Linked DNA regions of Caenorhabditis elegans. The protein of the gene in region 1 purifies or fractionates together with the protein of each later gene. This does not show direct contact. Each region holds a gene or a part of one and is shown in the gene's direction. Other genes may lie near its edges.

Region 1 (4,290 bases):
ACAACGAAAAATCAAAAAGAAATACGTTAATTGATATATTGATGTACTTCATAATGATTCTGCGCAATTCTTTTTTACTGGCAGAGTAATAAACTGCTTACTTTCAGCTAGTTACATTTAATGGAATAATGTTAATTTCTAGCACTAAAAAATGTAATTTTTCCTTTCGAATCATATACCTAGTAGCGAACCGCAGTCTACAATATAAATGAATTGGAACAACTGGAACAACACTATAAATCGGTCACTTTTTACTCCACTTCCATTTTTTTCACAGGGCAGCGAGAGAAGAAAGAAACAGTAAGAGAAAAGTGGATGCGCCAGTCTCTTTACAAACATGAAAATATTTACTGAAATCTTCTCGGGTCACAAAAAATGATGACTGAATGAAATTGTGTAGTGTGTGCGAGTGGTAACCATGACAAATAATGTTCTCTGGGCGACATTGATCGACAATGAAAAGAAACAATGTATTTCTCTAGGAAACATAAAAACTCGAGTAACTTGACTCTGGAGAAGAGACGAAACTTTGTAACTCTAGATTTAATCTATGGTTCTTGACTTTTAGTTGACCGACTAGGATATTCTGGAACACATTTTTTTTGGATTTTATCTGGAAGATGAATTCTTCGAAGACTTAGTCTATCAGAGAAAAAACTAATTTCGTTTTCAGAAAACAAATCAAAAATCACTGAACTTGAAAGTTTATCAATTTGATTAACGTCTGATCAGTTTACCAAATTAACAAGAAGACAAAGAAAAAGAAGAATGAAAACTGTTCTTTGCAACTCCTAAATAACTATGCATTTTCAACCATAAATTCTGCCAATCGGGTTTCATTTGGAAAACGGAGCACACGAATGGCCACATTTATTTGTGTCTCTGCCGATCATTTTTTTAGAAGGTGAAAAGTGCAAACAAAATATGAGGAGAAAAAAACGGAAAATGCTGACAAAACTTCGGAGGTGACAAAGAAAGAAACGGATAAAAAAGGTGAGAAAAGAAAGGGCAGACAAATTAAATGGACAGAAAGACAATCGGGAAAGAATGTTGCCAATTTGGGAATATAATTAATTTTCAAGTATTTTTTTAAAGAGAAATTGAATATTTTCTGTTAAATTCAAATATTTAGAATGCTACATTCTAGCCAGTCTATTGTGGAAATCATGATAAGATTGTCTGAAAGATAATGGATTTTTCCAAAATGCTATTATATTACGTGGGCGAGCGTCTCCTCTATAAATAAAGAGCAATGGGAAACAAAACATGTAAACTAAAATGAACACCAAACACGAAAAAACCTTCCTCTTCCCGTCCACTATATTGATATTTAGGATCTGGTGTGACCCACAAGTGGGTGGTGCCATTCGTGATAAGGAAAATCGGTCGAAAAAATTCATCAGCAAAATACGCGGAAACAGTGAACAGTGAGCACACGTTGTGAAAAAGGTGAGAAAAGCAATTTTTAAATTGAGATAATTTTTATATATGAAAGCTTCAACGGAAAAGATACAAAATCGAGCAAAATAAGAAATTAGAATTTATAGATTATTCTTCAGCGTCCAAATTGATCTGATCTCCGAATTTGGCGTACAAAACCTTCTTGATTTGCTCCATGTCCGCTGAGATTGCATCCAACTCGGAGGTTTTCTCAGACAAAACCTTCTCTGCTGTTGTCTTCTTTCCTTCCAAATGCTCATTCAGACTATCCTGAAAACCAATCACTACTTTCGTGTAAACCAAACGTTAATTCTCAATTCAAATTAAAAAAAAAACTGCTCACCCCATTGAAATGAACGAAGCAGCTTCCAATTCTGCATGGAATTGATGCTGAATCCTCATCATCGAGCAACAAAATTTCATCACTTGCTTCATTGATATTGTCAATGAGTGTTTTAGCTTCTTTAACGTCTGCCTGAAATTAAAGAAGAGAAACTTTAATGTAAAATTTAAAAAAAAACGTACTTTTAACTGGGTTTGTGTTTGGTATGACCGAGCGAATTTATTGAGAAGCGCTTGGTCTTCAGCAGAAACTTTCGTGTGTTCCGGCATTCTAAATTATTTTTAATTCAAAGATTTAATTAAAGAAACAACGAAGAAACAACATTAAAAGATATTAAACAGAAAATTCTGGAGAGAGAAACATAAAAATAAGAAAACTCAGCCACGGCCGCACGAAATTCTAGTCCATGTTGCGTGTAGTCCTCGTGAACAATTTCTTCCACGCGTTGTTTTATCCTAATTTGTTTTGTTTTTAAGTCACTATCAGTTCAAATTTAAGGCTGATAAAAAATGGCAGCAGCTAAAATTTCAGAAATTCCAACTCTCTTTGAAAAATGTAAGCTTCAGGCGTTTCATAATTCTAAAATAGTACACAATTTTCAGTCAAGGTTGCCAAAAACGTTCTGGGCCGTATCAGTGTCTGGGATGGAGATATTACTAAACTTTCCGTCGACGCAATTGTCAATGCAGCAAACAGTCGATTAGCTGGAGGTGGTGGCGTTGATGGTGCAATTCATCGTGCAGCTGGACGGAAGCAACTACAGGAAGAATGCCAGCAATACAACGGATGTGCTGTCGGAGATGCTGTCATTACCTCTGGATGCAATATTAATCACATCAAAAGTAAGTATTTATAGCATTGTTTGATCGTATTTTATTGGAATTTTCAGAAATAATCCACACAGTTGGTCCACAAGTATATGGAAATGTCACAGATGAACGGCGTGAAAATCTTGTTGCATGTTACAGAACATCACTAGATATTGCTATCGAGAACGGGATGAAGAGTATTGTAAGTGTTTCATCTGAAAAATAACTGCAAATATTATATATTTTCAGGCCTTCTGTTGCATTTCTACTGGTGTGTACGGTTATCCAAATGACGATGCCGCTAAAACCGTCACCAATTTCCTGACCGAGTATCTTGAAAAGAATGATACAATTGAACGGATTGTACTTGTTACATTCCTTGACATTGACAACGAGCATTACAATAAGTATTTCGGTGATTATGCTGCATCAAAGGATCAAAGTATCGCCTAAAACTTTCTATTGCACATTTACTGTACATGACTATTTTTATTTTATGTTGACTCCATAATCTCACTATCAGATCGGTTTTGATCCGTAATGTTTACATTGTTTCCGGTGTTGATTGCTTCATAAACATGTCACATTTCACCTATGATTATTTGTGTTTTTCTCTCATTTTCCGATTTTCGGTGATTCATATTTCAGTTCTCATTTTTAAATTTTTTCTCAATCTTTGTTTTTCAGCAGAATGCGCTCAGCAATTGCGGCGCCCATCTTGTTCTTACTAGTATCATTTTTCGTCCAGGAATGTGAATCGGTCGGATTTGCTCCAGAGCTCTATTGTGGATTAGAAAACTGTTATGATGGTGAGTCAAAACTTTCATGAAGATCTGAAAACGTTAAAACTATAAATGCATTCATATTTACAGTACTCGAAGTCAATCGTGAGGAATTCGATAAGCAGAAGCTAGCTAAAGCATATAGAGCTCTGGCTAGGAAGCATCATCCAGATAGAGTCAAGAATAAGGAAGAGAAGCTTCTCGCCGAAGAACGTTTCCGAGTAATTGCCACTGCTTATGAAACACTTAAGGATGATGAAGCAAAAACTAATTACGACTATTATCTCGATCATCCTGATCAAAGGTATGACGCTCTGAATATGAACACTTAAATATTCTTTATTTAAGATTCTACAATTACTATCAATATTATCGTCTTCGCGCCGCTCCAAAAGTAGATCTTCGAATTGTCATTGTTGGAACTATTCTTATCATTTCACTCTTCCAATTCCTCTCTGCAAAACACAAGTTCTCAGAAGCAATCGAATATGCAACCGGTGTTGGAAAATTCCGCAATATGGCAATTAAAGATGGAATTGATAAAGGCGTAGGTCGATTTTTAAGCTTGCACTGTAATTAATATCTAGCTTTCAGTTGCTGGAAATGGATCGGAATGGAAAATTAAAAAAGAACAAAGGAGTTGACAATGATGAAGTTATCAAGCAAATAATTATTGATAATCTTGATGTCACGTCAGTTATTCTTGAGATTTTTCGTAAAATAATTTGAGCTACATTTTAGGGGTGGCTACAAACGAGAATCCATCTACGATACTCTCGCATGGCACACAATTATTTTCCCATTAACGATATTCCGATACATTAAATGGACAGCACTTTGGTATTGGAGATTTGCAATTCAAAAGGAGGAATATGATGATGACGCCAAGCTTTATCTCATTAGAAAGTACATTGGA
Region 2 (5,576 bases), on another chromosome or scaffold:
AATTACTTGTTGTTGTACAGTTCTTAATAATTGCATTATAAATTTAATAACTCTTTAATAATATAAGAACCCGCATAATAAAAATTCGTAATAAACATTTCTTTCCATATATTATACTGCAATTCACAAATCCATTTACAACGCATTGAACCCCACTTAAAAAGGGTGAAGGTTACAAGTACACCGTGCCCTAATTACTCACGTAATGTAGGTAAATTGTGGTTTACTGCTTGATGAGACAGTTTCACATGAAACATGGAACACACAGGCACCGAAAATGAAGAGAAGAGGGGGAGCTTGAAGATTAATGGGCGGGGTTCAGGTTATGAAGGTCGAGGAAGAGAAAGGAGAAGGCGTCCATCGCAACAGCCAGCAACTGCAGCAGTCACTTCTGTTCACTACATATACGGTCAATATTCTAGTAGTGACCGGTGTCTTTCTAAAAATAATGTGGTCTCGAAATGTTGCACTGGTCTTCTGTCTCCTTGGTGGAGTTACCGCTATTGGAGAAAATGCGGTAAGTATCCCTTAAAACAACAAACTAGTCGAATTTTTCGGATTCAAATTCAATTTAATTAAATAAGATACAGAACATTGGAAATTATCTTTCTTTTGTTAAATGACATTTGTAATTTATGATATTTAGTAACTTACGTCAAGTTTTGAATATGTGTCAGCATAATATTAAAAATTGTAATTCAGATGGATTTCCAAGCCATTACTGGTATTCTTGGAGGAATTGGAAAAATGCTCGAAAGCAAAATTGACACCATCAATGTCCCTGCGGAGATGGTTATGGGAAAATGGTTCCAGATGTACAAGGCTGCTATGAACTTTGATGTTGTCCGCACCACAATGTTCTGCCCAGTTGCTTATTGTAAGTTTATCTTTCTAAAGTCTCAAAAACATGTTTTTGAACCTGTTCGAATCATAAACTAAGCTCAAATAACAAGTAACTTGCAGTCTCTCCTAATCCGATAATGGGTGAAGAAGGATTCTCGATGCAAGAAGCTTACAGAGTGGTTTCAAAAACTGGACCAATTGAGACTTACAAAAGAGACATGAACAAAGTTGGACCAGGACAATACTGGATGTACACTGAAGAGTACTTCTACCCAAGACAATGTGAGCGAAAAACATTTAATTTTGACTAAACTTGCTTTTCAGTTTACATTATCGGAGCTGGACCATCTTTCAATAATGGCACCAGAAATTCTACCGAGCCACTCCAATACTTGATTGCTTCTGATGCTAACCGACTTTCCCTCATGGTTTATGCTAGAGATCCTCTTGTATTTTTCCAGGTCAGTTGCGAAACATCAAGCGTTGCGGCGCGTGTTTTTTGTTTTTACTCTCCTGTAGGGCGCACTAGTGAGATTGATGAACACAGTGATTGACAGGAGGCGAGAATTGGGTTAGCTTATCAACATCGGTTGACCTTATTTTGAATTATTTCTCCGATTACAATCCGTGTCTATTGGATTATGGAATTTGGGATTCAGAAATCGGGAAAGAAAAAAAGCGAAAGTGACAATTGTCTGACATATTTGCAAACATAACATCATTTACAGAAGTACAACAAGGAGGTTGTTGAGTTCATGAATGGACACGGATTTGGAGGAAATGTCTTCTGGAACAGCCCAAAGCCAATTTACCAAGGACCAGACTGCGAATGGCCTTCTGAAAAGGAGGTCTTTGCCAGAAGGTAATGTAATTTACTCATGTAACAGACAGAAAATATAGTTTATTTTCAGAGTTTTGAAAAACCAAGAAATGAACGAGCGCAACAAGAATGGAACTTCAGACCCAATTCTTTCCGGAATGCCACTTGCCGACATGATCCGCGACCCAAAGCGTACTTTGGAAAGACTAGTTGGAACAAAAGCTTTGCAACAAGCCACCGCCGGAATCACAGCCGGTCCACCAGCCAGCCGTAGCGAGTGACCTCATTCTACCATTTTTCGCCATTTTTCCAGTACTTCTACCATTTTCTCTTAATAATCTCTTTCCAATTTCTTCACGCACTAATTATCAATCTGTGATCCTTTAATTATTGTCTACATGTATTAATAATAATATTAATAATGCAATTAATAAGACACGGTTCCGTGTTCCTTCCGTTGTATCTCATTGTCTTTTGAAAAAAGAAAAGTTAATTCAATAAATTTGTAAGTTCATTTTGAATCAGTGTTTTACAGTAGACTTACAGTAGTTTTGCAGTCGCTTACAGTACAATAGTATTGATATTGAAGGTTGTACAACGTTTACTTTCAGTTTATCCTCCTTTCCGTTTTACCGATTTTCGGCGTCATCCATTTGACAGTTTCACTCCCGAACTTCAAACTTCCGATAATAAGATTTTCGGGCCTGTGTACCGTATCAAAAGCAATTCGAAAATGTATGACTGTCTTTAGAGAAACATACACTTGCTGCAACTAGCAAGCGAAACGAGGACACGATTTGAGATTTGAGAAGATAAACTCGAAGAGGCGAGAGAAGAAAGAGAACACAGAGAGGAAAGAAATCGGCGAAGGAGGTTGGACAAAAGAGAAGCGAAAACACTGGACGGATGACCCCGGTTCATTCGACACACCTTCTACAACATCCACACTTTTATTCATTTCATCCATCGAGAATGCTCTCGATAGGCATCCTCTCTATTTGTCTTGTTGGCCTTGCCGGCGCCCAACTTGACGCTTTTGCTCTTCCATCAGCACAACGTTATGCTCCTAAACCAACAGTGCCACCAGAGTTTTCCAATTACTTTGAACTTGATGGGCATGCTCGCGAATTGGTGGACTCTCTGCTAGGACCCCGCCCAGGAGGCCTTTTCCCGGAAAAGACGTTCGAGATTGGAGCCCCACAAGGTCCAGTTCAAAATGGAAATCAGCCAACACACGTTGTTTCAAGCCTAGAGAAGACACTTGAGTCATTCTTCACTGCTCCAGAGCTTCCCGCTGGCCAAGCACTTCCACCAGGATTTGGGTCTGGGTTTTCCGTTGCAAACAACAATAAGGCATTGACTTCTTTCGGAGACATTCGTCGTTCGCCATCAGGCAAAAAGGAAAACCAGGAGGTAGAAGGATCCGGTGCTGTCGAAAACTCAATTGCAGGAATTCCAAATGTACGTAAATCATCTTTCTGTCAGTCCGTTTTAAAATTTGTATTTTAGGTATTCTTGAAGTTGGCAAAACAACCAACTGCTCTAGTTGACGCATTCAACAAGGCAGTTTCGGTTCCAAGAGACTCCAGCGGAAACCCAGTGTTTGAGACAGCACCAGTTGTCCCAGAAGGTGGATTCCTTCCAACTTCAGAAGTTCGTCGCTCTCCATCTTCAGTATCTGAAGTCTCGCACTCAATTGATTCTAAATCAGATGAACTTAATACAGAAGAGGTAAATTTTTTTCGCAGCGTTCTCGAACATTTATTTTTATCTTTTAGTATGGAGGTCTTTCCGAAGACTCAAACTCGTCTGGAGGTGGATTGATTGGAACTATTTTCAATCTTATCAAGCTCGGAGGAAAGAAAGCTAAGGAGAACGCCAAAAATGGGAACGGAACCGCTCCAGTAAGATTTCATATTCTTTTTAACCATCTTAATCGAGTTAATTTAGGAAAAGAACACTATCGGAAAGGCTGTATCCAACCTCCTTTCGGGAGAAAACAGTCCATTCCCAAAACCTGGTAGCAACATTCTGACTGATATGCTTTTCAAGACTCTTTCCAGTGGTTCACTCGAGTCCAATGGAACTGAAATTGAGAAGAGTGAAAATGGCTCAATTGTCCTTACCCCAGCTCAATCTGCCGCCATCAGCAGCAATCTTGAAATGATTCAAGATCTTATCATCAAGCCAAACTCTCCACTATGCACACAAAAACCAATCCCGGTTGAATTTGAACTCGATCCTCTTATGGGACAATGGTACCAAGTTATCTACTCTCCACCAGTATCTACTGGCCCTTGCAGCATGGTTTCTTACAAAAAACTTAGTGATAATGGAGAAGGTAACGTGCATTAATAGATTTTAATCAGTTTTAACTAGTTGTTTTTCAGCCACCGGATCAATCGTAGATGTCTATGAGTACACAACTGATGGAACTCCATATGGAAAGCCAATAATCTCTTCTGGATATGCCTTGGTGAAAGGAAAGGGAGAACTCATCTTCAGAACAAATTCCAACAAAGAAGATGTGACTGTGCACATTCTTAGCGTTGGACCATTGAATCATCAGGGAGAATATGAATATGTTGTCATGTCCACCAACTGCAACTATCCAGTCTATGTATTTGCAAGAGATACTAGCATTTTCAAGCAGGTATGAAAATTAATTAACAGTGATTATGTTGTGATAATTCAACTGATATTATTTTAGAAATACGAACCAGTTGTCAATGAGTTCCTGGACAAGAGCGGAATTGTGAATGGAATCTCTCGCCTGCTTAATGTTGTTGCTCCAGTCGACAACACTATGTGCATCTTCCCACCACATCTTTTCTACAACCAAGGAAGATAGTTTACTCGCCACCATCTTAATAATTTCTAATAACTCCTAATAATTTTTAATATGGTTTTTTTCCATCCATCATCCCGTTCTCATTGCCCTTTCTTCTCTTTCAACCCTCGGGTGATTACCTCATCTTTTTAAGTCTTAGTTTACAATCCAAAGCATTTTTCTTTAATTTTCATTTAGAAACTACACAAAAAATCAGGCCGTGGGCTCGTGCATTCCTTGTTGTATATAGAATTTCGAATAATTTATTCCTTTTTATAATTTCGGTTATATTTTTTCTACGTCTTTCACACTTGTCCTAATAATGTTGATAATATGCAGTTAATAAATTTTTTAAACTATCTATTTTTAACATTTCTTTAGTAATGAAGAAAGAAGTACAATTATTAAACGGATGCGCAATTCTTAACAAAAATGGCATCGTCGAAAAATCAGAGTTGATGTTTCTATAATTGATCATAAAGGATTAAATACAATTAATGAATATTCTCAATTTCTCGGCCCAGATCATTCTTACAACCATGTTATAAAATTATTCAGAAAAGTCATTTTTTAGAACTTAAAACTTTGGTTTACGAAAAATGCCGATTTTGACTTATTGAGAAAGGGGTTTCTTCTTATTTTCTTGTATCAATTTACTCATTTTTCAATTAGGTCAGGTCAAACTCTGGAACAGTGTTTGCCTGTCACATTTATCTTCATCATTCCTATTTCTGAGAGTATCTCTCTATCTCTATCAGAGTAATTCAATCCAGAGGATTAGAAAGGGGTACGGGGAAAAGCGAATATCGGTCAAGTGAAAGTGGTGACTGTCGCAATGATTCGCGGATACAGTCCAGTGAATCTTGCATGAAGAGACGCAAAAGAAGAAGCGAAAATTGGCACGTAACGAGAGTGAAAGCCTATCGACGCTGGACATTTTGAGGTCAACATATATCTCACCCGGACGATACAGCCCATTGAGAAAGCCCACACTTGGAAGTTCTAACGATGCAACGGCTGACGGCGGTTGTTTTCGCCTGCGTAATTGGAGGAGTTTTCCTCGCTGCACCAGATGCACCAACA
Region 3 (5,163 bases), 8.6 Mb from region 1:
ACTCAGATAAAAACCTGCAAAGAAGTAAAATCAGTAGAGTTTTTTTGATTATCATAAAAGATAAAATCTGTGCTGCCAGCTGAACGAAATTGCCGAATAGTATACATTTTCGCAATTTCCAATCTATCAATATACAGGGTGCGCCAAAAGTATGGTAACACGTGAAGCGCTCTTTTACATGAGCTTTTCGCGCGACTGCCACTTCATACATACAATTTTCTATAGAATACTGATAGCTGAATAAATTTCCTTCAATTTGACCTAAAATTTGTAATGTTTCCCAATAAGGTGTAACCTTTATCACCTCGGCAATTTGACGAACCCTTTCGGCAAAACAAAAAAAAAGTTTTGGCACGCGGCACTTCCCACACAAACGCACATCCCACGCACGCCAATAATTTTCAGATCTATGATTTTTATGTTAAATTCAAAGTTAAAGAAGTGAAGAAGCGTTTTTAATTGTTTTTGTAGTATTTGAAAATTTTCTGTATCGACACTGGCGCCTAGAAAAAACCTTTGAATATTTCATGAATTCAACTTTGCGAAAATTACTCAGTTTTTTTTGTCTTCACAAGGTGTAACGACCCACAAAATCATCCGAGCTTAATCTTCTATTAAAATTCTTGAAAGTCAGATCAAAACGTTCCCCGAAAAATACTAAAATGAGTTTTCCTGCATACTGCTGCCGCCGCTCACATCTATCTTTCTGGCGACTGTGTCATTCAAGGCTTCTATGTCATTCAAACTACTGCCACAGTCATACCATGACAGAACTTTTTTGGATTTTTGTTTTCAAAGAATCTCTAGACCAAGAGCATTCTTTGAACTATAAAAACTTGTAAGATACTTGATGGGTTCCTCGAAAAAAAAAAAGTAAAAATCCCGCAGAATGCCGACTTGCGTGCCATCAAGAACGTGATCTCAAAAGTTCGGAAAGCCTGCAGCGATGCGGTTAGGGAAATTTTAAAAATTTTAAACGTTAATCTGGTCAGTATTTCATGGAGATCAAAATTTATACAAATTGATGTAATAACTCTCGCCACACGTGAAGTTACAGAGCTGCAAACGTGTTACCATACTTATGGCGCAGAAGAAAAATCAATCAACAATAACTTTATTTAGGATACACCTGCAAATATCCAAAACGATTTACGATCATAGTTTTTTCCCAAAAAAGTCTTTTCGAAAAATCCCTCAATCAAGGCGCCGGGTCTTTTTGAATACTCATTTAAGTACCAGTTCACCGGTCCGAAAAAGATAGTAGTGTTGCGCCGAATGATCAACACAAGTCCACATTCATCGCCGAACCGTTCGCAAAGCTTTTCCGCATAATCTCCTGGAGATTCTTCGAAGGATGCTCGATGCAACACCTCCACAGTCGTAGTAAGTACAGTGTACCGCATTTTCTATATTAGTCGCCACTACCATACTTTTATAATGTGTTTAACTGAAGACAATTAATGTTAATGTTAATGCAATATGAACTAATACGGAAAATACGGTATTTATTTAAAGAAAACACCATTAATTAATTTAAATCAATATTCAGCATTCATGACCTTCGTGAGTACGTGCGTGGTCTTCGCGAAACGTTCGGCGCCGAATGTGGCTTTGTGGGGATTATTCGAAAACATAGAAACATTCGCAAACGTTGGGTAAACTGTGACCCAGACGATTATCCCAGAGGACCCGGTGACTGTATTGAGAGATGTTTCAAGGGCAATGGTTCTGACTTTTTTTTTGGTAGTGGCGACTTTTTTCAGTACTGGTACGGTCAAAAGTTTGAGATAATTGCTGGTGTTCGATGAATATTTGTAGTTTTTATTCAAAACCGTTCCATTGTAATAAAAACTACGACATTTTATCTTTTTGCGATTTCTTTTTTTTTAAATAAATATTTTATCTAATACCTTCAAGGAAAACTAATGTATCTTTTACATGTTTTTTGTGAATAAATCTTTTCTTTCTTTTAAAATCTTTTAAAAAAATCAGAATTTATAGTTTAGTTCTTTAGTTCGGAACTCACTTACTATGCCAAAAATCGTGTTCCCTAAATGAGTCACTTGGTACTATTGACATATTTGAGTATTTTCAACACATAATTTTCTTTGACATTTTTGCCCTTTCCGAATTTTTATGAGGAAGACGCTAGCATTCCTGATAAAGAAAATGTCAGTATTCCTCATACTTAGTTCCACAAGAAAAATGGCATGCGTGTAATGTGTAGCACTAGAGTATAAAACAAGAACAGAGAAAAGAAAGATAAGACATCATTGCTTTTCTATTTGGAGACAGTTATATATTTCAAGATGGCTGGTAAGATTCTATTTTTAAAATAATATGAAATTGAATCGAATTCTCAATTTTCCAGCTGTAAACTACACGACGGGATTTATTTCGGTGGTCACTGGCTGCCTAGGAGTACATGGGGCTTATGCGTCCGCCGCAGTGGTTCCGCATTTAACTGCGATTTGTGCATGCGGTGCTATAGTTAGTGCATATGTTACGATGGCTGCATACAAAGATGACAAATCAACGGAGCTGATACTCAGCGAGCTCAAAACGCTCGACAAGAAGATTGGGGAACTGTCACATAAGATGGACGCGTTGTTCGGTGATCTTAAGTCATTTATAACAACGTCTCACTTTTACATGGTATGTTCGGAATAGATATTGGTTCAAAGTGTGGTTACGAAGCCTTCTGCGCAGGAAAAAAGTTAATCACGACCCTTTTTAACCTTCACCCTTTACCCTTACTCAAAATTTTGCAGAATGAGGTCGCTACAATCAAAACGTTGATGAAATACATGCAGGATACGATGAACAATCCTTGTAAATACACAAAAGAGCTATTTCGTGGCGCTGTGACGGATAATAAACCTTTGTGGATTGCAGAGGTAGGACTTATTAAGGAATCACAAGATTTCAATGTTAGACAGCTTCAAATTTCCAGCAAATGATTATAAAACTCGACCAGGAGGAAACGAATCCTCTCAAAATGGCAATGAACTGTGATCCTCTTCGACCAACGGAAACTTTTGAAAAATGGAGAAAAATAATCGACGGAGTGCTTGCCCAATGTGTAGGTACTCACTACATCCCTCACTAAATAAAGTGTATCATATTCAGCTGATTTTGGAGACGTACCAGAATGGAATGTTTTGCGATAAGAACATGATTGGACCGAGTCGTTTAAAGAAGCAAACCGAAGAATTACAACTGAAAATGAATAGATGGGCTGAAGAATACCGTCAAGATCACTCGTACTGGGACGATGGAGTCTTAAGTTTAATCCATAATGTGCAAGACAATAATGAGGGAAGTGAAAATATACGAAATATTTTGACTAAAGAATTGGGCAAGATCATGACAAAGTGAGTATTTTTGTAAATTGACAAGGGACATAAAAGGGTAATTGTGTATTATAACTTTACTTTTTTCAAATTAAATTATGACCGGGGTAGCAATTATTTTATCTGTTAAGTTATTTAAAACGTGAATAGTATTTCCATTATTAGGCTTACAAAGGAAGTATTCCAATTTAACCCCGGTCAATTTAGGCACTTTGAACTGGAAAGAAGTCGCTCTGAAAAATTTTCAATGCATTTTTCACGATTTTCGCAGCCCGTAAAATTCCTCCAAATGTTGATTTTTGCAGATTTCTGATGATTTCTAGGCTTTTGAGGGCCAACCAATTTTTTTCTGGAATTTTTTTAATTTGTGAAAAAATATAAAAGATTTTGGTCCCGAAAGACCAAAAAAGCCAAAAAATCTGCGTTTTCCGAAAATTTATTCAAAAAAAGACAGCCCTGCTGTGAACGTCAGTAATTTTTCTCACATCCACTTACAAATGTAACCATTTTTTGCACACCATATCGCAAACAGTCAGATTTCAAATTGATTTTCCAAAATATTTCAGCCACAAATTTTACGTGATCGTCTACGATTTCTGTGACGGTTCATCTGAGGAGTACCAATTCACTTCATACAGCTATTTCAAACGCAATTTTAAATCTTCTTTCAATCGAAACGGGTGCAATGCTTTTGTTTTACGAAGCCTCAGAACCCAAGATTGCAAAAGGCACGAGGAGAACCTTCAAAGAAAGCTGCAAGCTGCCCTTCCAATGGAATACGAGTTTGTATTTTGCGGCTTAATGGCATAACATTTGATCCAAACATTTTTTCAGCTACAGATTCAAATTGATTGATTATGCGGAAAAGCTTTGCAAACGGTTCGGCGATGAATGTGGACTTGTGTTGATCATTCGGCGCAACACTACTATCTTTTTCGGACCGGTGAACTGGTACTTAAATGAGTATTCAAAAAGACCCGGCGCCTTGATTGAGGGATTTTTCGAAAAGACTTTTTTGGGAAAAAACTATGATCGTAAATCGTTTTGGATATTTGCAGGTGTATCCTAAATAAAGTTATTGTTGATTGATTTTTCTTCTGCGCCATAAGTATGGTAACACGTTTGCAGCTCTGTAACTTCACGTGTGGCGAGAGTTATTACATCAATTTGTATAAATTTTGATCTCCATGAAATACTGACCAGATTAACGTTTAAAATTTTTAAAATTTCCCTAACCGCATCGCTGCAGGCTTTCCGAACTTTTGAGATCACGTTCTTGATGGCACGCAAGTCGGCATTCTGCGGGATTTTTACTTTTTTTTTTTCGAGGAACCCATCAAGTATCTTACAAGTTTTTATAGTTCAAAGAATGCTCTTGGTCTAGAGATTCTTTGAAAACAAAAATCCAAAAAAGTTCTGTCATGGTATGACTGTGGCAGTAGTTTGAATGACATAGAAGCCTTGAATGACACAGTCGCCAGAAAGATAGATGTGAGCGGCGGCAGCAGTATGCAGGAAAACTCATTTTAGTATTTTTCGGGGAACGTTTTGATCTGACTTTCAAGAATTTTAATAGAAGATTAAGCTCGGATGATTTTGTGGGTCGTTACACCTTGTGAAGACAAAAAAAACTGAGTAATTTTCGCAAAGTTGAATTCATGAAATATTCAAAGGTTTTTTCTAGGCGCCAGTGTCGATACAGAAAATTTTCAAATACTACAAAAACAATTAAAAACGCTTCTTCACTTCTTTAACTTTGAATTTAACATAAAAATCATAGATCTGAAAATTATTGGCGTGCGTGGGATGT

What was found.
Region 2: the proteins of B0035.3 (region 1) and lpr-5 fractionate together in Caenorhabditis elegans (co-fractionation; one large-scale study listed by BioGRID). This does not show direct contact.
Region 3: the proteins of B0035.3 (region 1) and Y94H6A.2 fractionate together in Caenorhabditis elegans (co-fractionation; one large-scale study listed by BioGRID). This does not show direct contact.

What each region holds. Positions count from the first base shown.
Region 1 is NC_003282.8:11,312,970-11,317,259, reverse strand, and holds B0035.3 (Macro domain-containing protein), read left to right. Parts: upstream 1-2,261; 5' UTR 2,262-2,292; coding exon 2,293-2,338; intron 2,339-2,385; coding exon 2,386-2,625; intron 2,626-2,672; coding exon 2,673-2,794; intron 2,795-2,841; coding exon 2,842-3,045; 3' UTR 3,046-3,182; downstream 3,183-4,290. Other genes in the region: pfd-4 (putative prefoldin subunit 4), read right to left, coding at 1,549-1,710, 1,784-1,915, 1,966-2,052; DnaJ homolog dnj-2, read left to right, coding at 3,284-3,401, 3,465-3,678, 3,723-3,921, 3,969-4,066, 4,116-4,290.
Region 2 is NC_003284.9:11,059,687-11,065,262, forward strand, and holds lpr-5 (Lipocalin domain-containing protein), read left to right. Parts: upstream 1-2,622; 5' UTR 2,623-2,635; coding exon 2,636-3,124; intron 3,125-3,172; coding exon 3,173-3,394; intron 3,395-3,441; coding exon 3,442-3,567; intron 3,568-3,613; coding exon 3,614-4,004; intron 4,005-4,053; coding exon 4,054-4,316; intron 4,317-4,373; coding exon 4,374-4,514; 3' UTR 4,515-4,853; downstream 4,854-5,576. Other genes in the region: lpr-6 (LiPocalin-Related protein), read left to right, coding at 308-517, 703-877, 964-1,125, 1,168-1,304, 1,572-1,705, 1,755-1,944; lpr-4 (Lipocalin domain-containing protein), read left to right, coding at 5,502-5,576.
Region 3 is NC_003282.8:2,727,983-2,733,145, forward strand, and holds Y94H6A.2 (DUF4781 domain-containing protein), read left to right. Parts: upstream 1-2,309; coding exon 2,310-2,316; intron 2,317-2,371; coding exon 2,372-2,655; intron 2,656-2,771; coding exon 2,772-2,897; intron 2,898-2,953; coding exon 2,954-3,082; intron 3,083-3,129; coding exon 3,130-3,374; intron 3,375-3,919; coding exon 3,920-4,135; intron 4,136-4,187; coding exon 4,188-4,422; 3' UTR 4,423-4,440; downstream 4,441-5,163.